Bombyx mori: one gene and its partners. The main gene of each other region encodes a partner of the protein of the gene in region 2 in a complex. Links are inferred from orthologs where the notes say so. Each region holds a gene or a part of one and is shown on either strand. Other genes may lie near its edges.

Evidence for each region. Proteins that work in one complex are often made in the same cells at the same time.
Region 1: ATP-dependent RNA helicase WM6 (region 2) and A-kinase anchor protein 17A share a complex: the UniProt entries of both Homo sapiens proteins name them as parts of the spliceosome. The link is inferred for Bombyx mori from reciprocal best matches to the Homo sapiens genes DDX39B and AKAP17A.
Region 3: ATP-dependent RNA helicase WM6 (region 2) and THO complex subunit 5 homolog share a complex: the UniProt entries of both Homo sapiens proteins name them as parts of the transcription/export (TREX) complex. The link is inferred for Bombyx mori from reciprocal best matches to the Homo sapiens genes DDX39B and THOC5.
Region 4: ATP-dependent RNA helicase WM6 (region 2) and THO complex subunit 3 share a complex: the UniProt entries of both Homo sapiens proteins name them as parts of the transcription/export (TREX) complex. The link is inferred for Bombyx mori from reciprocal best matches to the Homo sapiens genes DDX39B and THOC3.

What each region holds. Positions count from the first base shown.
Region 1 is NC_085127.1:13,390,895-13,397,192, reverse strand, and holds the start of A-kinase anchor protein 17A, read left to right. Parts: upstream 1-2,478; 5' UTR 2,479-2,934; coding exon 2,935-3,851; intron 3,852-6,298. UniProt on the Homo sapiens protein: Splice factor regulating alternative splice site selection for certain mRNA precursors. Mediates regulation of pre-mRNA splicing in a PKA-dependent manner.
Region 2 is NC_085122.1:1,016,062-1,021,869, forward strand, and holds ATP-dependent RNA helicase WM6, read left to right. Parts: upstream 1-3,233; 5' UTR 3,234-3,625; coding exon 3,626-4,903; 3' UTR 4,904-5,053; downstream 5,054-5,808. UniProt on the Homo sapiens protein: Involved in nuclear export of spliced and unspliced mRNA. Component of the TREX complex which is thought to couple mRNA transcription, processing and nuclear export, and specifically associates with spliced mRNA and not with unspliced pre-mRNA.
Region 3 is NC_085114.1:10,649,234-10,655,628, reverse strand, and holds the start of THO complex subunit 5 homolog, read left to right. Parts: upstream 1-2,575; 5' UTR 2,576-2,643; intron 2,644-2,662; exon of another isoform or gene 2,663-2,928; intron 2,929-3,305; exon of another isoform or gene 3,306-3,916; intron 3,917-3,996; exon of another isoform or gene 3,997-4,010; 5' UTR 4,011-4,054; coding exon 4,055-4,153; intron 4,154-4,528; coding exon 4,529-4,666; intron 4,667-5,344; coding exon 5,345-5,635; intron 5,636-6,148; coding exon 6,149-6,395. UniProt on the Homo sapiens protein: Component of the THO subcomplex of the TREX complex which is thought to couple mRNA transcription, processing and nuclear export, and which specifically associates with spliced mRNA and not with unspliced pre-mRNA.
Region 4 is NC_085132.1:2,064,425-2,070,776, reverse strand, and holds the start of THO complex subunit 3, read right to left. Parts: upstream 3,821-6,352; 5' UTR 3,725-3,820; coding exon 3,506-3,724; intron 3,361-3,505; coding exon 3,239-3,360; intron 2,884-3,238; coding exon 2,748-2,883; intron 1,545-2,747; coding exon 1,441-1,544; intron 652-1,440; coding exon 490-651; intron 1-489. UniProt on the Homo sapiens protein: Component of the THO subcomplex of the TREX complex which is thought to couple mRNA transcription, processing and nuclear export, and which specifically associates with spliced mRNA and not with unspliced pre-mRNA.

The sequences.
Region 1 (6,298 bases), on a different chromosome or scaffold from region 2:
AACCTGACAGAATTGCTAACGCTGACCGTAGCAAGAGCAGTGCTTCGCTGATCGTATCACGGTTGGCACTGGAGTCCGCTGGGATGAACCTTTTAAGGCTGCTATGCTGGCTTGCTGTTGGACCATTGTTGAAGGCTTTGCCTTAACTGTGAAAGTGCGAGTACTGTGGTAGTAGAAGTTCATGATGATAACGTAGTGTGGAGGCTGCAATTGTTCCGTAGGTCACCAGTTTGGGGGTAACGAAAAAGGGGAAGAACTTCCACCGAGCCGGTGAAATTGCTCGACTGACTGACGGTCCAAAAGGTGTTGCTTAAAACTTCTATTTACAGGGTGTCCCAGAAGGTATCCATAACCAGGCATTTACGATAGCTCAGGGTGTGTGGGAAAATTAAATAAAGTCGCTAAGCCTTCCAAGAAGTCCAGTGAAGTTTCAGTAAATTTTCCACGTCCTTACGGATTCATCAAATCCCATAAACATTGCATGAGACGCCATTAGCTCTAGCACTAAGAACAGGCTTAGGGACCCCGGTAACCGTGCTCGTCGAACTCAGCAAAGAGTTCGACGTGCAACCTATTCTAAACATCAGCCCGCTTAGTTTCTCGCCGGATCTTTACAGGAAGTCGCGATAACGATCCGGTATGTATATTCATTAGCGAAGCAGCTTCTCTTAAGGTGTTAGGTCTCCTCTGGAGGTGCTCGGGTAGCTGTTAGCAAATCCCACCACTCCTGGCTGAGCCCTTGCTCGCCCACCTGCCTTGGTGAAACTGGAAAGGCCTCCAGGCCACAAAAAACCCCTCAATCATAAAAAAGTAAATTTTCACCATTTTGGACATAATTCTATTTCATTTCATCTCATTTAATTCCATTTCGTCTCCCGTTTCATCTTGATTGATTATAATTTTAGATACATCAAATTCTTTTCATTCTGAGTATATATCTATAGGTACATATAAATAAAATTGGAGTGTCTGTTTGTAATATTGAAGGGGTTGTAAGGGGCATGGAACTAACATCTTTACCATCTACAATGTCAACCTCACCTGCTCGTGGTACACCCTGCTGACCAACGGACGAGGCTCTGGCGACCGAAACTCTGGCGGGATAACCAGACAACCACTATGTACAGGAGGAAATAACTGTACCCGGACACATCACCTATCTGGGGGTTTCCCTACTTCAAGCGGGGTAGGTTTTGGTATGTCAGATGGCAATCGGTACCTTTTAATAAACCCAAAAAACTCGCCAAATTTTAGTAAGCAAATGGACAGGTTACATAATACGTTTGGGATAACGGATAGGGCGTCGCCGCGAAACGACGCGCAGAAATATCGCCCTACATCTGCGAACAGTATACTAGGGCTACCGAGTCATGGACGGGCTCGGCTAATGAAGTTAGTCCCAAATTGTAGCCTGAAATTCCGCCCCATACATAAGAACAGGCCTGTTCTTATGTATGGCAGCGAAACATGGGCGGCAACCAAAAGGAACGTACATACCATTCAAGTTGCTGAAATGAAAATGCTGAGGTGGATGTGCGGCGTGACTAGGCTCGATAAAATCCGCAACGAGTACGTGCGTGGAAGTCTAGGTGTACGGGACATCGCCGACAAGATGCAGGAGAGTAGGCTGAGATGGTATGGTCACGTGAAAAGGAAGCCACCTGACTACGTCGGAAATTTGGCGCTACTGCTCGACCTCCCCGGTCGGAGACCTAGAGGCAGACCCAAGACAAGGTGGAGGGACGTAGTGCTGAAGGACAAGAGAGAATGCAATGCTGCTGACGAGGATGTCGAAGACAGAGCGAAGTGGAGGAGTAAAGTCAGGAAAGCTGACCCCACCACCATGTGGGATAAATAGCTGGGAAGAGAGAGAGAGTTTGTAATATTGAAATAACCGCTTTTTACTACATGCATATGAATATATATACGGTACATACACCAAAATAACATTTTTTACAATTTTTGTCTGTCTGCCTGTTTATTTCGGCTAATCTCTGGAGCGGCTGGACCGATTTTGATGAGGCTTTCACTAATAGGTAGCTGATGATATAAGGAGTAACTTAGGCTATTTTTTTAGACTAGCTTCGCCCCGCGGCGTCACCCGCAGTTATTGTCGTACCGCGCGCAACATGGCGGGACTCACCTATCAATAATAAAATTTAATGCTTCCGAAGCGAAGCGAGGGTGGGTCGCTAGTATTATATATGAATAATAATTGAAAGATTTCATAAACTCAATATGATATATGAATAATAATTGATTGATTTAATAAACTCAGTACTTTGTGTATTATCTATGCTCAATATTGGCAATAATGGCATTGCAAAAGGCTGATTTCGATAGTAAAAGAATAAAGAGGTACCACCTCGATCAGTTAAAAATTCCCAATTATTATCGCAATTAACTTTGGCTGTATGACGTATAATCGTCATGCCTATCGCATTAAGGAATCAAACGATAAAAAATTATGACAAATTTGTCAAATGTCATTATCCAGGTCACCTGTCTACATAGGTTTCCTACTTCATTGCCTGTCTACCTGTCTTACTGTCTTCTTGCTTGGCTCGTTTGAATACCAATACTACAATACAAACCGTGTTAAAAATTAAGATCATTGACAAATGTTAACTTAGTGACTAAAAATATATCTTTAAATTCAAAGTGATATATGAAATAATGAAACTCTTGAATTAAGTTTAATTATCGCGGAACTGGCATAATTTAGCTTAGCTTCGAAACGATGCTCCATCGGCGGAAAACAATGGCTCACAAAAAATTTGGTTTCGGTCATTTTTCATTTTTAATTTGTTTGTATTCATTAACATTATAAAATTATTTCACTGTTTAATATTTTTAACATTCATGTTATTGTTAGATTAGCTTTATTTATAAAATTGTATTAGTTTTTATTTCATAGATTAGCGTTCGTTAGTCATGAATATTCAAGTATGCAGGGACACTTCAGACGCTGTGGCGCTTTACTTGCCACAGCGTTTGTATTTAAAATCGTATGCCAAGCTTAATATTTCTGTCCAGCTTCCCTCTCACAAGGTACACGGCAAAACTATATCCAATTGGGAGCTCATGGAAAAACTGCGGAAAATGATCCAACCTGAGAGTTTTTCATTGTTAAAAGTGTCGAAACATAGTTCGGAAGTGATCAGATTTGATGCGGAAATAGAAAATTATAGTATGCTAAAGATGGTGATTATGAGACTTGATGAACGTGTGGTGAAGTTGAATGATTACCCGGAGCCCTTAAGAGTGAAAGTTTGTGAAGCGAAGTCGGATTTCCCTTCTCGTCACGCTTGGGACTCGTTCTTTCGAGATGCGTCCGATATGGATGAGATGAAGCCAGGAGAAAGACCAGACACTATTCATATATCAAACCTGCCAATACGTTGGTTTGTTCATAAAAATGAACGGGATGAAGATGCGATGCCTTCTGAGAGCTTATTCAAAAAGGTCTTTGAAAAGTTTGGTAGGGTACGTCAAGTGGACATACCTATTGCTGATCCATTTAGACTTCAAATGAAATCAGCCATCAGAGGCATCATGTATCCAACAGAAGATGCAGCTGTGTATTTTGAAGGATACGTACAGTTTAATGAATATGTCGGTTTCGTCAGATGTATGGATGAATTGAGAGGCAAGAAATTAGTTAGAAAGCAGGATGACATTGCCGAGTGGTGTAGCATCAGGGTTGATTTTGATAAGACAAAGCACATGACTGATGCAGCCATCAAGAGAAGGGCTATAGTTAGAGAAAGACTTGCAGCACGAAAGAGTCACAAAGAGGAAGAAGAACAAGCGGAAAAATTGAAAGCTGCTAAAAGAGAAGCAAAGGAAAGGTAAGTTTAAAACATACATCTACAAGAGTCTTATAATTTGGGATTTTATTACTTATAGCCTAAATAGTAACTAGGTAAAAAAAAAAAAAAAAATTATGTAGTCCACTGTGTGATAACTTATTGGATATAAGATGGATATTTGATACATATTGTTTAGTTTTTTGAAATTCTGTGCACTTGATAGTATCTACAATGCTTGCTACACATAACAGTTGAGAGCTTTTTGTTTTACTCAAAGGTTTCATTCTACACTTGTACATTATTTTTTTATTACATTTCAATACAGTGATCTGTCTATCACTAAATGCTGGTTTTGAGGATTTTATAGACAATTGTGTCTGCACAATGTCTGATCAAATGTTTACTTTTATTAAATGTATGCGGAAATGCAGGGTAAGATCGATGCTTTGGAGCAGAGAGCTAGGCTTAATAACGTCGAGATCAAGGGCGTTCCTGTAAGGAAGAACGAAAACCTTTTTACAATCGTCGAGAACATCTCCCAGAAGCTGGGTGTGTCCTTTTCCAGGGCTGACATCAACCATGTTACGAGGGTACCTACATTTGGATCGCCTGACAAACTGATCATACTAAACTTCCACAATAGGTACACAAAGGAAGATTTTGTCGCCGCTGCTCGTGCACTAAAATCTTTTAATGCCCAGGACATTGGTTTTACTGTTTCTAATCGTATCTTCGTGAATGACCACCTGACTCGTGATTCAAAGCAACTGCTCACAAAAGTGAAAACATGGGCCAAAAAGAAGAATTTTAAGTACATTTGGGTTAAGTTCTGTAAGATCCATGTGCGAAGATCTGACTCGTCTCCGGTTATTATAGTACATACAGAGGCAGATTTAAACAAATTGACTTAGCTTGTGTCTTATTATTACTTTTTGTATTTTGTATTAGTTTCTATAGTAACTTTTTGTTGCAAATTCACGTGTCACTGGACATAGGTTATGTACACTTATTAATTATAATCGTGGTCCAAATGTTTACAACACATGTTGTTGTTCACTGGCCGGCGCCTCGCCTTTTGCCGCTATTGTTCTCATATCTCGTTGCTTGTCTGTTTGAGGTTGTCATTACTGACATATATTTGTCTTGCTTTCACGAATGTATTGCATATCTACTACTTATTAACGCTGATCTAGTGTGTCAGGGGTTTATTGGTACTTGTTATATTCTTCGACTATTTTTATACTACCTACAATTTAATTTAATTTACTATTTTCACTTTTACTATTTAATGTCTAGAAATTACCACAGCGTAATATTAATTTTACTTACTATGTTATTAACTATTTTCTTACAATGGACAATGAATCAGTCCTGAATAGTATTCATATCTACTACCAAAATGTTCGTGGACTTCGAACGAAAGTTCTTGAGTTTAGCCGTAACCTGCTATTATGTTCTTATGATGTGATTATTTTAACTGAGACTTGGTTGACTGATGGTATCCTAGATGGCGAATTATTTAATGAACATTATACAGTTTGGCGTAGGGATAGGAACAGTGACCTTACGGGTCAATCTCGGGGTGGCGGTGTTTTGATTGCGACTCGTAAAGATTTAAAAGTTAGTTTGCAGCCGTCATTTAACTCATCGGTTGAAGATTTGTGGGTTACACTCATCGTTAAGTTGAAACGTGAAACTATTAAATTGCATATATGTGTATTATATTTATGCAAACAGGGTTCTAGGTTTTCTTTCTCTGAACAATTAACTAATTATCTTACGAAACTCACCAACATTGTTTTGGATAATTCACTTGATAAATTCATACTTGTTGGTGATTTTAATCTGAGCGGAATTACGTGGCTGCCGTCTAATCTTGGTTACTTTACACCTTATAATGCTCGTAGTAGTGATGAATTATTGCTTGTGGATGAAATGCATATTCACGACTTTGCTCAGTATAATGGGATAACTAATAAGGATGATAGGATTCTGGATCTAGTTTTCTCAAATGAATCATTGGTGGTGAGTAAGTGTGTTGATCCAATGGTCCCGATTGATCCGTATCATGAGGCTCTTGGTATTACGTTTAAATGTATTGAACTTGTAACTCTAAGAACTGCACCGCGCACTAACTATCGATTCAATAAAGGTGATTATTTGTCAATTAATAGAGAGCTTAATAATATTGACTGGTGTGTTGAGTTTCAGTCAAGATCTTTGGAGGGCTGTACTGATTATTTTTATGAGACAGTTAACGACCTTAAAGAGAGATATGTACCATCTCGCATGACTGGCTCTGATCATTACCCAGTCTGGTATTCAGCTGCTCTTAAAAAAGCTATCAAAGAAAAATATAAATATAAACGTAAATATTCAAACTATGGAAATAAATCTGATCTAAACTCTTTTAATGTGCTTCGGGATAGGGTTAGAGTACTGGAAACCAATTGTTACAATGATTATATTGACTCTCTTGAAATTTC
Region 2 (5,808 bases):
GCCCATCTCTCTCTCGCGCGGTTTAGCTTATGAGTGTGAAGGGGACAGTTAAGGTTTTGCCTTTATTAAAGTTTAATATAGCGTGGTCTTGTTTTATTATTGTTTTAATATTAAATTATCATTGTCTAATTATAATGTCATAAGTTGATAAAAAATGCTATGCAATAGCTTTACCGCCGCAGTTCCCGAGTGCCACACGTTTTTTTTTTGTCAGGAGGAAATCGCCGGACTTCCGCCCTTCACTGGGGATGGAGGGCGAGGCATGTCGAACCGACTAAAACCTCCTGTCGCTCAACAACCAGCATCCAAACCTCGCATGAGACAGAACTCATGAAAAGGCAAAGGGGGGAAAGTGAAGTGTTTAGTGCGGAGCACATCTCTCCCATCACCCTCCCCCTCGGGACGCCGGACTGGCGGTCGTCGGCGCCACGACCACCAGCCCTCTCGGTCGGCAGGCTGTCCGAAACCCGCCTAGATGGCGCCGGTAAGAATGGTCTATCCTACAGAATACCCCGCTGCGTCAGAACCAGCGTTGGTTGAGGATAGCCGGCCTTCCATCACCCGGATGCTCATGCGTAAAACGTGTGCAGAGCAGCTTGCACGTCGTCTTCTTAGGCCCCCTTCACCGGTCCCCAGGTCGACATGTCAGGGAGACCCGAAACACTTAGAGGGCCAGGGCTTGGGCGAGATCCGCCTCCCTGGACCCCGCTTGACGGCGGCGGGCCTGTGCATCTCTCACGCGCCTCGCCGCCTCCTTTTGCGAGATGGTGCACTCGCAGAAGTCGAGCATCGCCTTCCACGACTCGTCGTCACCGAGAATCGATGCCAGAACACTCGGCAACGACAAGTCGTTTCCTATTTTTGCGACGAGGACACGCCGCCACCCCCTCCCATGCGGGGCAGGCGACGAGTGTATGCTCTGCCGTGTCCAAGCCGCAACCACAATGGTGGCACTCTGCCGTCGGCTCGGCTCCGATCCGGTGCAGGATCTCACCGAAGCAACCATGCCCAGTGAGTACCTGCGTGAGCCGGAAAGTGAGGCGTCCTCTGTCACGATTCACCCAATTCACAAGAACCGGGCGAATCGCCTCGACGGTCCTACGACCAGCCGAAGGATCGGCCAGCCGCCTGGACCATGACTCCAGCACTGACCGCCGAGATTGGGCCCTCCACACTCTGATCACACTGAGGCTGGGACGCGCCACGCCCCGGGCACGAAGGTTAGCCCACCACTGATAGTCAGCGGCGGGCGCCTCCGCCTCCAGGACCTAAGGCGGCGTCCCAGCCAGTACACACGCCGCCTCGAAAGAGATGGTGCGATAACCACGGATGATCCTGACTGCGATGGTGCGTTGCGGCCGTTGCAGCAACTTCGCTACCCCCACGGCCAGTGACTGGCCCCACACGGGCGCCTCGTATAAGGCGCGTCACCTGGTCATGCCCCCCGATGTTGTAAAGAAGCCGGCTTAACGTGCCAGCCACCCCCAACAAACGAGGGACCAGATTCTGAAAGTGAACACGGAAGGTCCAACGACTGTCCAGAATGAGGCCGAGGTACTTCAACTGCACCCCGACCCGATACGGATGCCTCCAACCACGATATGGGCATCGATAGGTGGCACTCTCCGCGGCCTGTGGAACCACATGGCCTCGGATTTACTGAGTGTCACGTCGAGGCCCGATTTCCTGATTTTACCGACGACATGCGCCACCCGAGCGGTGGCAAGACGAGCAAACTCAGCAAAACTCCTGTGTCCCATTATTTTATTCTATCATCAATAGTTTTCGTAGGGCACGCGACGTAAAGAATATTTTAGGTAATTTTTTTTACACCTTGGGTTAAATTATTGGAGTTTTAGTAAGGATACCCAATTTTTTTTTAAAAAAGGTTATAGTCTACGTCACTCGGGAATAGTGAAGCTTCCAAACAGTGAAAGAATTTTTCCAATCGGCTTAGTAGTTTCGGAGCCTATTTAATACAAACTAACAAAACTTTCCTCTTTATAATATTAGTACAGATATTAATTATTACAAATAATAAAAACGCTGACTTAGGTGGCGGTTTTTATTTGAACCAGTTCTAAATTATAAACTAAAATTCTATGAAAAATTACCCATATTTATCTATAATACGAAATGATATTAATTTGTTTTTCGTAGTTTCCTTCCTTCTTGCGTCGATAATCCTCAGTGCTGAGGGTCGCGGCCTCCTCTAATAACTTTCTCCTGCATCATCTTGCGCCATTCCTGCCTGTCCTCGGCTGTATGGATAGCAACGTGGACTGAAGTTTTGAGAGTGGAGCGTATTTGGTCCGACCAGCGCATTGGATTTCTGCCTCTGTGCCCTCTCCCGCATACCTTGCCTGTTACCAGCAACTTTTCCAGATTCTCACCTCTCTTTCTGGCGATATGTCCAAAGATCTCTAAACTCCTCCGCGCGCATGTAGTGCGGAGGCGCATTGGAATCTTGAGCTCGGTAAGAATGGATTCGTTGGTTCTGTGTTCTGTCCAACGAATCCCGAGCATTTTCCTCCAGCACCACATCTCAAACGCGTCGATGCGTTGGCGGTCGGCTTTCTTGAGGGTCCAAGTCTCTGCGCCGTAGAAAAAAATGCCACCCAAGCACAGTCCATTTGGAACATAGCCCTCTTTGCCATACTGATTCGCCTTCTGAGGTCCTTTTCGGAGGTTCCATTACTAGCTATGACGGAGCCCAGATAAATGAAATCCTCTACGTCTTCCAGGTTTAGCTTATTCGTAGTTTAATAAGTTATTATTGTTAGTAGTATTATTTACTAGTCGAAATATAAATTTTTAATTATCTTATGATGAGAATCTTATATTAATGAGAAAGATATTCAACAAAAATAGTTTCGTTCTAATAAATTAGCATAGTAATAGTACAGTGAACTAGCAATTTATTTTGGTAATTCTGAATTTAAACAAACATATTGATGAGAAGAATTCATTTTTACTTTGCAAATTTGTAAATACACGCTCTGTAGCAATGTACGGACATATAATAATATGAAGAAACAATAATAGCATCTACAAATATATATGTACTACGTGGTACTACATTTAATAAAATTAATACAACATTTATTAATTAAATTAATGAAATTGTGGTTTTAAAGTTTTAGGGGTGTATAAAAAATGGGGGGCGCTGAAAAATAATTGATATTCAAAGGGGGCGGTAAAAGAAATAAGTTTGATAATCACTGCTCTAAGTATTTCATTTTTAAATACTCATAAAATGGGTCATTTCAAAAAATAATATGACATGAAAAAAATCATATAAAAGACATATTATTCACGTGCTCACGTGAAAATAAAAACTATGATTGCATTATAGCTGTTCGCCTGTGTTCTTCTTTTTACTTTACACAAATAAAATTTCAAATTAATCAAAAATCAAATTGCAAATTTAATTCTCGTAAACTGTTGAGTGGCGAAAAAGCCAAGTGGCACGTCATATTTAACTGTCAAACATAACAAAAAAAGTTTGGATTGACGCCAAAAAAGCCGAAGCCGCCATTATTGTGAAATCGTATTGTAAAAATAAATTTCACGTGCTCACAGTGAGTACGATACAGTAAACAAGCTAATTAAACTAAAGTAAATCATGGCTGACAACGACGATCTTCTCGACTACGAAGATGAAGAACAAGCAGATCAACAGACTGCTGACGGGTCTACCGAAGTGGCGCCAAAGAAGGAGGTTAAAGGATCCTACGTATCCATCCACAGTTCTGGTTTTAGAGACTTCTTACTTAAGCCAGAGATACTCCGCGCTATTGTTGATTGCGGTTTTGAGCATCCTTCCGAAGTTCAACACGAATGCATTCCGCAAGCCGTCCTCGGTATGGACATACTTTGCCAAGCCAAGTCCGGTATGGGTAAGACAGCCGTGTTTGTTTTGGCAACATTGCAGCAGCTGGAACCCTCCGAGAGCCACGTTTACGTGCTTGTAATGTGCCACACCAGAGAGTTGGCTTTCCAAATAAGTAAGGAGTACGAGCGTTTCTCGAAATATATGTCAGGAGTCAGAGTATCAGTATTCTTTGGTGGTATGCCAATTCAGAAAGACGAGGAAGTCCTTAAGACAGCATGTCCTCACATTGTAGTGGGAACTCCCGGTAGAATTTTGGCATTAGTAAACAGTAAGAAACTTAATTTGAAACATTTAAAACACTTCATCCTTGATGAGTGTGATAAGATGCTGGAATCTCTAGACATGAGGCGAGATGTGCAGGAGATATTCCGGAACACTCCTCACGGGAAACAGGTGATGATGTTCTCAGCCACATTGAGTAAAGAAATCAGACCTGTGTGTAAGAAATTTATGCAAGACCCAATGGAAGTTTATGTAGATGATGAAGCCAAACTCAAGCTACATGGACTGCAGCAACATTATGTGAAACTAAAAGAAAATGAGAAGAATAAAAAACTCTTCGAACTACTTGATGTATTGGAGTTCAATCAGGTGGTTATTTTTGTGAAATCAGTACAGCGCTGCATAGCTCTGGCACAACTGCTCACCGACCAAAACTTCCCTGCCATTGGTATCCACAGAAATATGACCCAGGATGAGCGTCTCTCCCGCTATCAACAGTTCAAGGACTTCCAAAAAAGGATCCTGGTTGCAACAAATTTGTTTGGCCGGGGAATGGACATTGAAAGGGTAAATATTGTCTTCAACTATGACATGCCTGAAGATTCAGATACATATCTACATCGTGTCGCCCGCGCAGGAAGGTTTGGTACCAAAGGTCTGGCCATTACTATGATATCTGATGAAAATGATGCCAAGATCTTAAACCAAGTACAAGATCGTTTCGATGTGAACATTACAGAGCTGCCTGAAGAAATTGAGCTCTCTACCTACATCGAAGGACGATAGATTAAGTTTCATTCCCATACCTATTTACTGCTGTGGCTCATTTTGTTGGTAATTAGACTGGCCTGCTTTAACATTGATTTGTAATACATTGAGCCACATTTACTGTTTAACTAGGTTTATCTAATTAAAGTGACATTTCATATTGTGATATCTGAGTGTTTTATTTCTTTACCAACAATTTGGGAGCTTTCATCGTTATCAGTAAGACAGGCTGTGATATGTTTAACTTTAGAATGTAGACAGGAAATTGATATATTTATTTTGACCATGTTCATATTAATGTAACAAAATATCCATTTTGAACATATCATTTTGTCTTTATGACTTCATATTTTTATATTCTTAGACATGCAAAATTTACTGATATTGGATGTTAATACTTCACACAAATACTACTGGATGCATTTGGATAAAATTTCATGCCTAAAAACTTCAGAATAAAACAAGCCATAATTTAATTTAGAGTACCTACGTACAGTGTGAGAGGTGGGGTGCAAGTAGTTTCAAGAAATTACTGTTTTTAGAGCCTTGCTATAGGATAATTATACAGGAACGCGACCAGTTTTAACTGAAAAGTACAGAAGGCCCATGTCCAGTAACTGGTATCCACTACAAAATCAAAATCTATAATTGTCTGCCTACACTATATTGATTTAATTAAACTAAATTAGAAACACGTCCAAAGATTTTTTTATTATATAAACTGGCATTTTAATCTATGTTCACAAAAGACGAAAAAGCGATAATGCTAAAAACATACTTTATTTTAGCACCATTTGCATACAAAATAAATATTTAAATTAAGCTTATAGTCCTGCATTTAATTTTTTTTACTGGTGGTAGGACCTCTTGTGAGTCCGCGCGGGTAGATACCACCACCCTGCTTATTTCTGCCGTGAAGCAGT
Region 3 (6,395 bases), on a different chromosome or scaffold from region 2:
TTTTAAGTGGTAAAATAACAACCTTGAGGCATTAGTTCTAAGTCTCAATTTATAGTATAATGGCTGCCCCACCTTACGAATAGAAATGCTTTACGCCTTCACGGCATATATAGCAGGAAGACTGGTGGTACCTATCCATTCTGACTTACAAGAAGTCCTACCACTAATAATTTAAAAAATTAAATTACCTGTAGGGAAAATCATGAATTCCTGCATGGCAAGTTTATTTCCAGCATGTGATCCTCCATTGATCACATTGAATGCTGGTACAGGTAGAACAATGTCATTATTTCCAGCCAAATCAGCCAAGTGCTTGTACAGCGGAACATTCTTCTTGGCAGCACCAGCCTTAGCAACAGCTAGGGAAACTCCAAGGATAGCATTAGCACCCAGTTTGGATTTGTTCTCAGTGCCATCCAACTTAAGCATGAGTTCATCAATCTGTTAATTTAAAAGGTTTACATAGCTGACATATACTTTTTTAAATATATTTAATATTATTTTTAAACTATTAAATACATTTCTTGTTAATATGAAAATCCTATCAATATTAATTCCACTTCAATTGAATGTTAATACCACACTCAAGTTTTTTTTGAGTCCTTTCGAAATATCTACTCTTGTTTGAGATTTAAAAATAATTACCTCTCTCTGTTGGGTTACTTCGAGGTTGGCTTTTGTAAGTTCAGGAGCAATGAGTTCATTGATATTTTTGATTGCGGTCAAAACTCCCTTGCCATGATATTCACTCTTGATGTTATCTCTTAGTTCAAGAGCTTCATGAACACCAGTGGATGCACCAGAGGGTACAGCTGCCCGGAACAAGCCAAGCTCTGTTACCTGTTCACAGAATTAAAAGGTACTTTACATTTTTCAAAGAATTTCAGTAATTTAGTTGTTGATAATTTGTAACAAAAAACTTACCAGATCAACTTCCACAGTAGGGTTGCCACGAGAGTCAAAGATTTGACGAGCCTTGATTGATTTTATTACCATTTTTAATACTGAACTAGACTTTCTAGAAAAAAAAAAATTTTTCATTTTATTTGGAGAGCACTGGCAGTAGTTTAGAAGTCATCATGCCCCATCAACATGGTTAAGACACTTAAAGTATACCGGTATATCTATCTTGATAAAAGGACAAATGACTTTGTCCAATTTACAAAAATAAAAGATGTGTAAAATTGATGGAAATTTTGAATTTTCATTTAGTTCAGAAAAAAACTTGCAATCTCAATCTCAAAAAACTAATTTTTAATAGATCCTAAAGGTTAAATCAATACAAAATTACTATTTTATTGTATTTCTATATAATGCTTAGTATATGTGAATTTTAGATTTGGCAATTTAGTTTCAATTTTTTCAGATATCTTTTTTGTTCATCTGTTGATAGAAATGTATGGGACAAGTCATTAAATTGAAAGTATGATTTAAACCCAGTGACCTCAGGATCATCAGCCCACAGAAATTTACTGCTGTATATAAGCAAGGTTTACCACAATGACTGGTCTTACATAGCCCACATCCAGCAATTTACGCAACCTTTAAAATCTTAGACATAGAACCACCGAGACCTAAAATACAACCACCAATTTCCCATTTAGGATCTTGACACTCTTATTTGCTTAATAAAACACCCCATTATTTCAACTTATTACTACTTCTGATTTCCAAAGCACACAGCCTAGTCACGAGACTTACCTTGAATACTGCAAAAAGATTTATTGTATCGATTGAGGGTATTAAAGGATTAATTCTATTACTTTTACTTCTATTGCTAACGCTAATCGAATGAGATGCGCCGGCAAGGTCAAACATAGGTTGTACAATCATAATTCCTACTTTAAAATATTTTTTGATTTAAAATGTTTATTACAAATTCATTGCGCTCACGGGGTTTAAGAATTAGTCATTTTCAACGGATACAATGAAATTTACGTAAAATTGGATGGCTAATGATCGGCATCTAATTTTTTTGTATTGAAAATTTTTGCACTACTCCACTTTTTTGTAATCCATACACATCATAATAATAATAAATTACAAACCTTAAATTAAGCGATATCCTTATTTAACAAAATTGCACCTTACAAGCCGGGTTTGGCAAAATATAAGGATTTGGTTGCTGGCGCGATTACAGCAGTGATATTTTTGACCTTCTCAAGGTGGAAAGCAAAAACAAATGTCCTTTGTTTTGTGTACTTAAAGAGGCAAAGGGATCATAGTCATTTTATATAAAATAAACTAGATAACTAATCAACTGGGATGAAATTAAATGAAATGAGATGATATGGGATGAAATATTTATGATCTCAGTAAAATGGTGGTCATTTACTGAGATTCTTTCAGTGGACTTTTTGGAGGATCCCGAGGAGTTACGTCTAGCGACTTTGTTTCATTTTCCCACATTTGTGCCCTTTCGCAAATACTAAACAGGTAATAAACCACCATTATCATACATTCAAACCTGAAGAAATACCAAATAGACAAAATAAAACATATCACACAGCTTCACTCCTCGCATTCCCGCCAAAAAGTCGAAATCTATGAGCTGAGAGATGCACACATAGATTATCACATAGGTAATATTTGAGGATGCTTAACTGACATTTACTGACATTTATGGAGAGTTGCTATTGCTGAGTAGACGTGCGCTAATCATGTTCGGAACTGGATTGAACATGACATCGTTCTTTTGAGTGTCGGAACTAGTTCCAGTAAACATGTTCGCGGAACTGTTTAGTTTCACGAACATGTTAAGTCTAGTAGCTGTTTGTAGTTTGTAGCTGTTTAGTTCCGCGGACATATTAAGTCTAGTAGCTGTTTGAAGCTGTTTAGTTCCGCGGACATGTTAAGTCTAGTAACTGTTTGTAGTGTAGCGAATCACGTATTAAGTTATTATTAATTACACAATATTTTTCAAAAAAGGTATTAAAAATACAATTTTTTAAAAGCACTATATAAAAATAGATTGCCGCTTATGGCAATTATTATTGTAATATTATTTTGTAAGGTTTTTAGTTTTAGGTTCATTGTTACAGCTGGTTGCATAATTTATTAATGTACTGTAATTACTTTGTCATAATTTCAACTACTCTACTACTTTCATTATTTTTCAATGTAGGTATTGTACGATGCACCGAAAACTATAACCTATCAGTTGTTAATTAAAATACCACGTTATTCTGATATACAACGTAAATTGAGCTCGTTGTAGCCTTACAACCTTTTTCCCATAACCGAGATACCGAATAGCGAAAGTGGTGAATGTTTTAAAATTCTCGAATTTTGAATTATGATTTTCTAAGAAATGGTCTACAAACACTTAAGGTTAAGTGCTCGTAGGAATGATGCATGGTCAAGGTCAAAATCCATAGCAAAACATTTTAATTTATTCAACTATCGACTGTAACACGTAGGTCGTAGAGCATAACTTCAATATTAATAAAAATGTAATATGAAAGAGCTCCACACGCAGTTTCATGCACTCGCTCCATCTCACTCTCTCGTATTCGTGCCATATGTCGCCTTATCTCTTTACGTGGACTCGTGTCGGTTCGAGACTCGTTCGGGTGGACTCGCCGCGCCACGCCTCCGCGCCGCGCGGTACCTATGCTCTAATCATGTCCGCATGTCCGTCATGTTCAACGCGTTCGTAGTTCCTGCATAACAGTACACTTGGAATGGAAATGGAACTGTCTGAACATGTTAATTTTGACAACTCGGATTGAATGATATAGTTCCATATGAGGACATAGTTCCAGGAACTATTTAGGTCCGGAACTACGCATGTCTATTGCTGAGTAGGTACAATAATGAAGTATAATTTAAAAAAAATCATAGTTAAAGACTACCTTTCAAATTAAAGGCTAACATTAAAAGAAAAATAATTCAAACATTACCGTGAACGATGCTAGTAAAAGCTTTAATATATAAAAACAAATCCAGTGAATAGAGTGAATAGGCAGTAAGGTTGTAATTGTCTGTTTAAATTAGTGATTTTTTTAAAGTTCCAGACTTGGATGAAATCTGATAAACTTGAATAAAACTAAACATGGGAAAAGAAGAAGTAACGGCTGTTAAGAAACGGCGCAAATTAAATACAAGTACATCAAATGACGGAACAAAGCCAGTTCCCGTTGATGTATACAAGGTATTGACCAAAATATATAAGATGTAACATAACCTCAAGACTCATTATTCTGTACCATAAATATGTATAATAATGTAAATTTAAGTACATAGTTCTACTAATAAATGAGAATTTATATTTGTGGCTCCTGGTTTAGCAAGCTGTTGCTTTTATATTTTCTGTTGAAGTTTTTGTTTCAGTTTTAACTTATTATTAACAAAAATAAAAATTAAGTGAATCCTGTTCGTGAAATATCTTGTGATCTTCAAAACAAGTTTAATATTAACACTTAGAGAAGTTGTAAACTGAACAAGATCCCAGTACACCAAAAAAATTGTCTTTATTTTTCAAGATTCTTCATTCATTACAAAATGTGTTTTAAATGGATTGTTCCAGCGTGTTGTTGAATTTGAAGAAGCTGAAGCTCATCTGCGTCCAGCTGATAAGGATGCTGCCTTTTTCAATAAAACATGCCAAGACATAAGGCAACTTTTTAAAGAGATTGCAGAGTTAAAAACTAAAGAAACATTGGAGGTATGCCACTTTTCAATTAATAGTTAATGCAGGACATAATAAGAGTCGGGTCCTACCTCGAGAACAGGATGGCCGTGTGCACCGGGCACTGTGGGGCGGTGCTCCATTTTCCCGTCGAGCGTGGTGTCCCACAGGGGTCGGTCCTTGGCCCTCTCTTGTGGAATGTCGGCTACGAACTGGGTCCTGCGGGGTGCCCTTAGCACTCCTCTCCCGGGTCTGAGCGTAGCTTGTTACACGGACGACACTTTGGTCGTTACCCGGGGGAGGGACATCTTTCCTGTGTATGGGTGGCCTTCGTCGTCTGCAGGAGTATCGCGTTCTGACCCGGCAGGCTGGTTCTGGTCCAGCTGGGTATCCCGGAACACCAGCGGCATCGCCCGGGCGGCCTGGCAGGGCTGTCGTACCGCGGAGACCGGCTTCGTTGTCGTCGACTGTCGCATTGAGGACTCGTCGATCCGGCGTCTTCAGGGTGGCGTCGCGTGTCTGGTTGTAGTGTTGACTACCAGATCGTAAAGTCCCACACCCCCCTAGACGCGGGGACCTCGTAGGAGGTTCGGCACCCGGCTCGACAAATAAAAAAAAAAAATGGACATGATTAGATTATATTATGAATTGTAATTAATGTTAAATAATATAAAATATGGAACAATGCAATTAAGGCAAAAGTTATAATTACAGGCTAAAGAAAAGATAAATGCAAAAAGAGTGGAAGCTTCATTACTGCTGGTTGCGTTAAAGAAATTAAATCGCCTGGAGAAAGTACGAACTAGAGCTGGTCGTGATGCGCTCCATAAAGAGAAACAGAGAGTTGATTCCACACATTTACTGTTACAAAATTTACTTTACGAAGCAGATCACTTAAACAAAGAAGTAACTAAATGTTTACAATTCAAATCTAAAGATGAAGAAATAGATCTTGTGCCTCTTGAAGAATTCTATAAAAATGCACCTCCTGATATTATTAGATCAGTAAGTATGTTTTCACAGTGTGTAACTGATATCTGAATGTACATATTTTAACCGTTTCAGCTCTGAATATTTTTTTAGTTTTGTCCCTAAAATGCTGTAGGTAGCTAAAATCCTGAATTTCTTTTAAATATTGAAGCCAAACTTGAATTGCAATAATATAAACAGTTCAAAACATATACATGCACTCAGGACCAAGAGCTTACCTAAGTTTTTGGGCGATAGCATTGCATCCCAATTGTCATTTTATACATTAAAGCGCTATCGTGCTGAGTAGCATCATAACGGTTAGTAGAAAGTTAGGCATGACAGAAGTATGACTGCTTTTAATCTGTCCTGGTGAGGGTGCCAGTCATATGATTCACATTGTTTCCCCTTACAAATATACATATGACATATTCCACACATATCTCAGACACTTGATACTGAGTACTTGTAACTTTGATACTGATCAGATGAGTTGTTGCAGTAATGGTACTGACAAATTCAACAATATGACAATGTGTAAAATTTTAGGAGGTCACAAAGGCTGATGAACATCAATTACAATTAGCCCGACTGGAGTGGGAGTTACGTCAACGTCGTGAATTATCTGAAGCCTGTAATGAACTCATATCTTCCAAGGAACGAGTAGCAGCTGCCATTGCTGCTGCACGTTCTAGACTTGATGCATTGGCTCCACATCTGAAAGATGTCTTGAAATCCACTAAACCTTTGCAAGAATGTCTTGCTCTACGCTTGGATGAAAAACGTGATGAAGCCA
Region 4 (6,352 bases), on a different chromosome or scaffold from region 2:
AACACTCAACACCAGGTGGGCCGTCAGCTCGTCCACCCATTTAATTGCAACAATATTAAATTTCCCTGTGTGGCTGGTATTTGTAATTGAGAAAGAATGAAACACTGCCTTTTCCCAGGATAATTACTTTTAACACTCTCTTGTGAATACAGTATAATTGCACAGCAACGGTTGCTATGTTTCCATGTTAAATGAATAATGTATTCTGGGTACCATTTAGGTAATATCCACCGTTCATCCTTCATCGCAAATTTCCAACTTCCAAGTCCATTTCCAAGTCTATTTATTAGTATCAGAGGTCTCAGTATTTTACTCTTCATCTTCACGTAATATTAAAAATACAAGTTTGTCTGTTTGTTTGCATTTCGCAGACTGTTGGAGCTTGGTCAATAGCCCGCACTAGTGAAATTAGTTTACATTTTGGCATAATATTGTGTATATTTGATATCTTTTACAGCACATTCAATGAACTAGAACAAAAAAAAATACCTGGAGAAAACTCTTAAGCAGGCCAGTTCATTGACATCCCATAGTGAGACCAGAGCATCGGCTGACCCAGTAGCAAAGTATCTACCGGTTGGGTCGTGCTCGATGCAGATACACGTACCAGGATGCGCCTTCAGTACTGTCTGCAATTCTAGAGATGGATAACTGGAGAGAAATATTAATTTTCGTTATTTTACTAAACTCTCACCATACATACTTTGGCGACTCACTTATCCGCCACTACATTGACACATACCACTACTTGGGCAACCGCCTTATAATTTCGACCAAATTGCTGTCACTTGTGATTTTAGGCCACATCCGCTATTGTTGTTAAAACATGTTCGGAGATACTTCAGCACATCGGCAATTTTGGAAACTGCGGGCAGTACACATTCGATACGTCTGCTGTGCTGTGTCCTATTGTACACTTACATACTTATATTGAGTTAATTAAGTGCTAATCTACCTATATTGTATCGAAATCCTATGTTATATACAATATACATTAAGTGAATGACATAACAATATTAATTCTCTCTGTGTTACCTATCCTTTGTGTCAGTGCCTAGACAATCTAGTTAGTTGAAGCAGCTTAAATACTACTGCTCCTATGATACCACAAAATGGGAAATTCAAACCACAGCTATATAATTTGTCGTATTTCTTCTTTACGGATCATACCATTTCCACTTTCTACACTAGCGTTATTTTGTTGATTCTTCGAACTGTAACTTGCTGTTTACAGGTAGACATTTTTCAACTTGTCCCCTACACAAGATGGAATACTCCTTAGTTCTATCCTCCATGGCAAGAATGAAGTAAACTTCAGAATACATACAAACTTTAGTAGCAGCACTTACAACTAACAAATACAAAACTATTTTTATAGTAATGTTGAAACTATTTCCTTCTAGCAGTGAATTGATGAATTAAATGTTATAAAATACTAACGTCATAATATGTACGCATCCCAGTCCGTTGGTGAGGAAGAACAAGTCCGATGTATTATTCCATGATATCTCGTTCACTTCAAAGTTAAACTGTTCTTCTGTTACCTGCAATAAATAAATGTCTTAATGTATGCAGTAACTAAATCGATACAAATCACCCTATATTCATGTATTTGAAAAGACAGAATCTCTGGTATGTATCCTCTTTGAGTGGTATTTTTTGGTATTAATTGGTCAATCTTTAAAAGAGTGTCAATAAAAAAATTACAATTGGCTTAATAATACTATTTTATCTGGATGATACAAGAAATATGACCAAGTTAGACAGTGGATTTTAATGATTTTCATACATTTTATATATGTAGTTGAATTTTTATCAATGCTGTGAGAGATGATAGATATGTATGTACAGTCAAAATCTGTTATAACGACATCGAAGGGACTGCTCAAATTCAGTCGTAAAAACCGATAGTCGTAACAACCGGTGATGTTTAATGTGTATCGTGCAAGTACAAACAAATCGATAGGGAATTATTGGAAAAATATATTTATACAACAACGTACATTTTGTTTATTACACATAAGTACAATGCATATTAGTTTTCTGTGAGCATAAAATCTGTAATTTTGGTCTGTTTGGAACACTTCTGCTGTGCGTAGATATTTTGTAATTCACGTTGGATTTTAATTAACGTATCGTCATCGCTCTTTCCAAATGGTTGAAATTGTCGAGTGTGATAACCATATTCCTTTGCTAAGTCTTTGTTTGAAATTCCGCTCTCTAGCTTGGATATAATCCGCGATTTTTCTTCAATATTAATTTGTTTTCTTTTTCATTGCGACATTTTTAAAGTTTCACGAATAACTCCATAAAGTTTTGATGCGTCTTGTGTATAGATAAGTAACAAACTAACTGAAGAGATATGAAGAAGCGGGCTTTGACTCTACTGCATGCACGTGTTTTGTTTCTAAGAATTAGAAAAGACCCTACACTAAACTAAATCCTATTGTTTTCTTTCCTGATTTTAATATCCATTGAAGACAAATGTGGATACCTATTCAAATTGTTTACAATACAGCTTAGCTGGTCGTTCTAACAGATCTAATTCTCCGAAATATTAGTTAAATGTGGTCGTTATATGAGGTATGTCGTTATTAGCAATGTCGTATAAAGCAATGTTTTTAATAAGGCGGTCATATGGCATTCAGCCGGGACCTTTGTTCTAGGTTATTATAACCGGTATGTTGTTCTAAACGATGTCGCAGTAAACGGTTTTGACTGTATATAAGTAAAAATTCATTACTCACCACTTTATAAGTTTTTGTATCGATAAATGAAACTAAATCTTCCTTGTTCCCTACCGCAATGGTGTTGCCATTAGGAGACCATGCTATATTTATGTTTTCACCTTTGGTTGGGATTGTCGCCGCGCATTTGTGTGATCTATAAATTTTATTATCCTGTAGAACACCCTTAGATTTTCTATATTATAAGAAAAATTTAAAATTAATAGTTTAAATTAAGTCACCATGAAAAAGCCAACTGAACTCAATGGTATCAATCTTGTTCAGGAAGATATATTATGAAAATTTACAATAAAGGTATGCCACACTCTCTACCGCAAAATAGTATTAATGTTCATTTGGAACTAACACTTGTCTTTTATGAATACGATGGAATCTCAACTATTGTATTCATGTGTGTTGATATAAAAATTTCTAGATGTTTATAATTTTTTTTGGATATCTCATATTAATATTTATTTATAAAGGGCTAATAATTAACATCCCAGTATTACCGTGTATCCCATATCCTAACAGATTTGTCTCCGCTCGCTGTACTCAGGAGATCAGGATGTGACGCATGCCAGCAGAGTTGATCTACAGAGCCTGTGTGGCCTTTGAAAATAAAATCTTGACTCTGAAATTTACAAAATTTGTGTCTACTTATTTTTATTTCTAGGCTGCACAATTTTTAAGTTATTGCTTAAAAACAAAAAAAAATTTATTATAACCTCTCAAATTTAGTAGGGATTTTAAATATTTTGAAATAAACAATAACTCACCAATCTACTCCTCTCTAAATTAAATATTGCAACGCTTTTATCGAATGACCCAGAAGCCAGCTTTCTACCATCACAGGACCAGCCCACGGAATGTACTTTGGATGAATGTGCAATGTACTCGCGTGTAGTATTGTGTGACGCAAAATAACTACGTAATTCACTTAAATCTTCTATAGGAGCTTGCGAATGCTTTGAATCCTTCATAGCTTTGGTTATCATGTAAAATTTAACATTAAAATTTTAGTTGTTTTCCTGTTAGTGTTTTTTGTTTATTTGACGACTGTTCCTTTCATCGGACAAGCAAAGGAAATCTAACTCATACAGGCAAGTCTTTTGTAATAAATGCCAAAACCTCTAAGTTGTATGAAATTAAGACTATTTGGCAGCAGCACGAGAAGCAAAGTTGTAGGAATGATTTCATTATTTTATAGAAGTAAGATGAAACAGCGCTCATAGAAATGATGAGAATTTACTGAGATTTCCGGGATAACCGAAGCTACGTCCAGCGATTTTGTTATCCTTAATTTTAACCTTTTAGGGTCGTATTAATGCGGATCTGGGTTTGCTTTGGAAGCTGAGAGTAGACCTCTCGTTCTCGCAAAAAGTTTAGAATGCTTTCTAAAAATATCTTTGTAAAGTTCATTTCCATAAGTTTTAAGGTGAACATTACAAAAAGTTACAGAAAACCTTAAAAAATAATTTGTATGCCGAACTTTTACCTTATAATCTTGTACTGTACCTTAGTGTTCGACATTTATTTAATTAACGGGTTGTTACCAGGTTGAATGGATTAAGGCGTAGAGGTGAAGCTGAATACGTTCTGAGATTTAAAAATAAAGACAGTAGAAGAAATCAATTATTTATTCGTCATTCACTTGCCCATGTATTCTCGTCGCCACACCTTTATTTGGCTCATGAAGTAAGCCATTGGAGTCAACCAAACTGTGAGCATAAACGCGCAGTGCAACAAAGCCTCCTGAAAAAAAAGGGAAAAGCACAACGAAAATAGCATTAACAATAAATAATGTATCACATCACACAGCAAGCAGCACTTGGTAAGCCGTGGCTTGGCTCTGCCCCTGGCATTCCTGATGTCTATAACTCATAGACTATGAGCGACGGTAACTACTTACCATCAAGTGGGCCGTATGCACATCCACTTAGAAAGGCAATAAATAAACACAAATATCTGCACATAAGTGCGCAGAGAGTAATTTTTCTGAATTAGTAAACTGATAACCATCCGACATATTATTTTTTAAGTTTACTCATATATTTTTAGTATCAAGCGTTACTTTCTGTGTTAAGCCGCTTGTCAAAATGGAAGTTCGTTCGGTAGAGATCCTTTATACGCTCTTTAAATGGTCTGGGACCTCATCAATCACAATTTATATCTTTTAATGCGTCTGCCGTGTTAGTGGATGTTAGCTTACCTCAATCATCGTTACTTGAACAAGCTTCACTGCAATTCTTTTTTTTTTTCTTACCTATTCTAGTAACCTCAAGGGGTTATATTAGATTTGCCGAACGACTAACTGAGCTCACGAGATTTCTAATCTAGTGACGTTGCTAACACTAGCCCTAGCAAGAGCAGTGCTTCGTAGAATCTATCAGCGAATCGGAAACGCGACCCACTGCGAAGATCCGGCGAGAAACTCAGTGGGATGTGTCTGTGGGTTAAATTCTTATTGTTGACAGCCCTTTGAAATGTCAAACTCAATCTCTTTCCCAATAGTGGATAAAGATCATTCTTAGGCCGTTTTCCAATTACAGCACAAGAACGCATTATGCGTCATAATGCTCAACTAAGCTTCAGCATAATTCGGCATTGTGCGTCACTGAGTTGCATTATGCTCTGTAATTAACCATTACTTATTGGTAGTTTTCAAATTCCAACGGCCTTAAACTGCATTGTTCACATAGAAAAAAGTGTTGGAAATACAAAACATGATGTTATAAGAAACTTACGCCAAGATGGCATTTATTCCTCGGCGGAATGACAATTATCATTCCTGTTTGTGTCCAATTGCGTTTAAGCATTGTTTGTTGTGGTAGCGGTCTTCGTAGTAATTTTGTGAGATTCCGTAACATATTTGAAACGAGTCTCCTAATATGAAACCGTTAAACCAGTTTAAATAGGTACAGGGAGATTATCGACTTCACACTTCAGTTTGATTACATCAGTGTCAGATTAAGTGTATTATCTATGTTAAGGCAATTGTCAATTTCAATTATGGAATTTAATTTTTTTATTTGATGCCATGTTCCATGTAGTTGATTGTTAAACTCTTTTCATTTATTTCGTAGATGGGCGAACGAGTTAGCAGCCACCTGGTGTAAAGTAGATACCAGAGTCCATAGACATCACAAAGTGAATGTTAAAGCCCATCCTTCAAACAGAACGTTGCGTACTGTGTCTGTCCATCGGAGCGGAGTGAGAAAGTAATGCTGAGCGGAGTTTAGTACCTACGCGACGAGTCTGTTCACACTACGGGCGCACCTTGCCCTCGCGCCCCCATTCCCGATCCTGCGGACAGAATGGAAAGCAGTCGACGTCGCCCAAAACACGTCATTTCGGAACCTCCCGATCCACTAAAGGTGCTTTTAGGTACCTCAAGCACCGGTCATCGTTCTCGTCGAACCCGTCGCTTGTGACCAAGGGCTCGCCGAGTAAATTAACCCTCAGACACAGCCCACTGAGTTTCTCGCCGGATCTTCTCAGTGAGTCGCGTTTCCGATCCGGTGGTAGATTCTGCGAAGCACGGCTCTTGCTAGGGTTCGTGTTAGCAACGTCGTCAGCTTTGTGAGCTCATTTACTAGTTAAGGTTACGCTGAAATAGCCTCTCA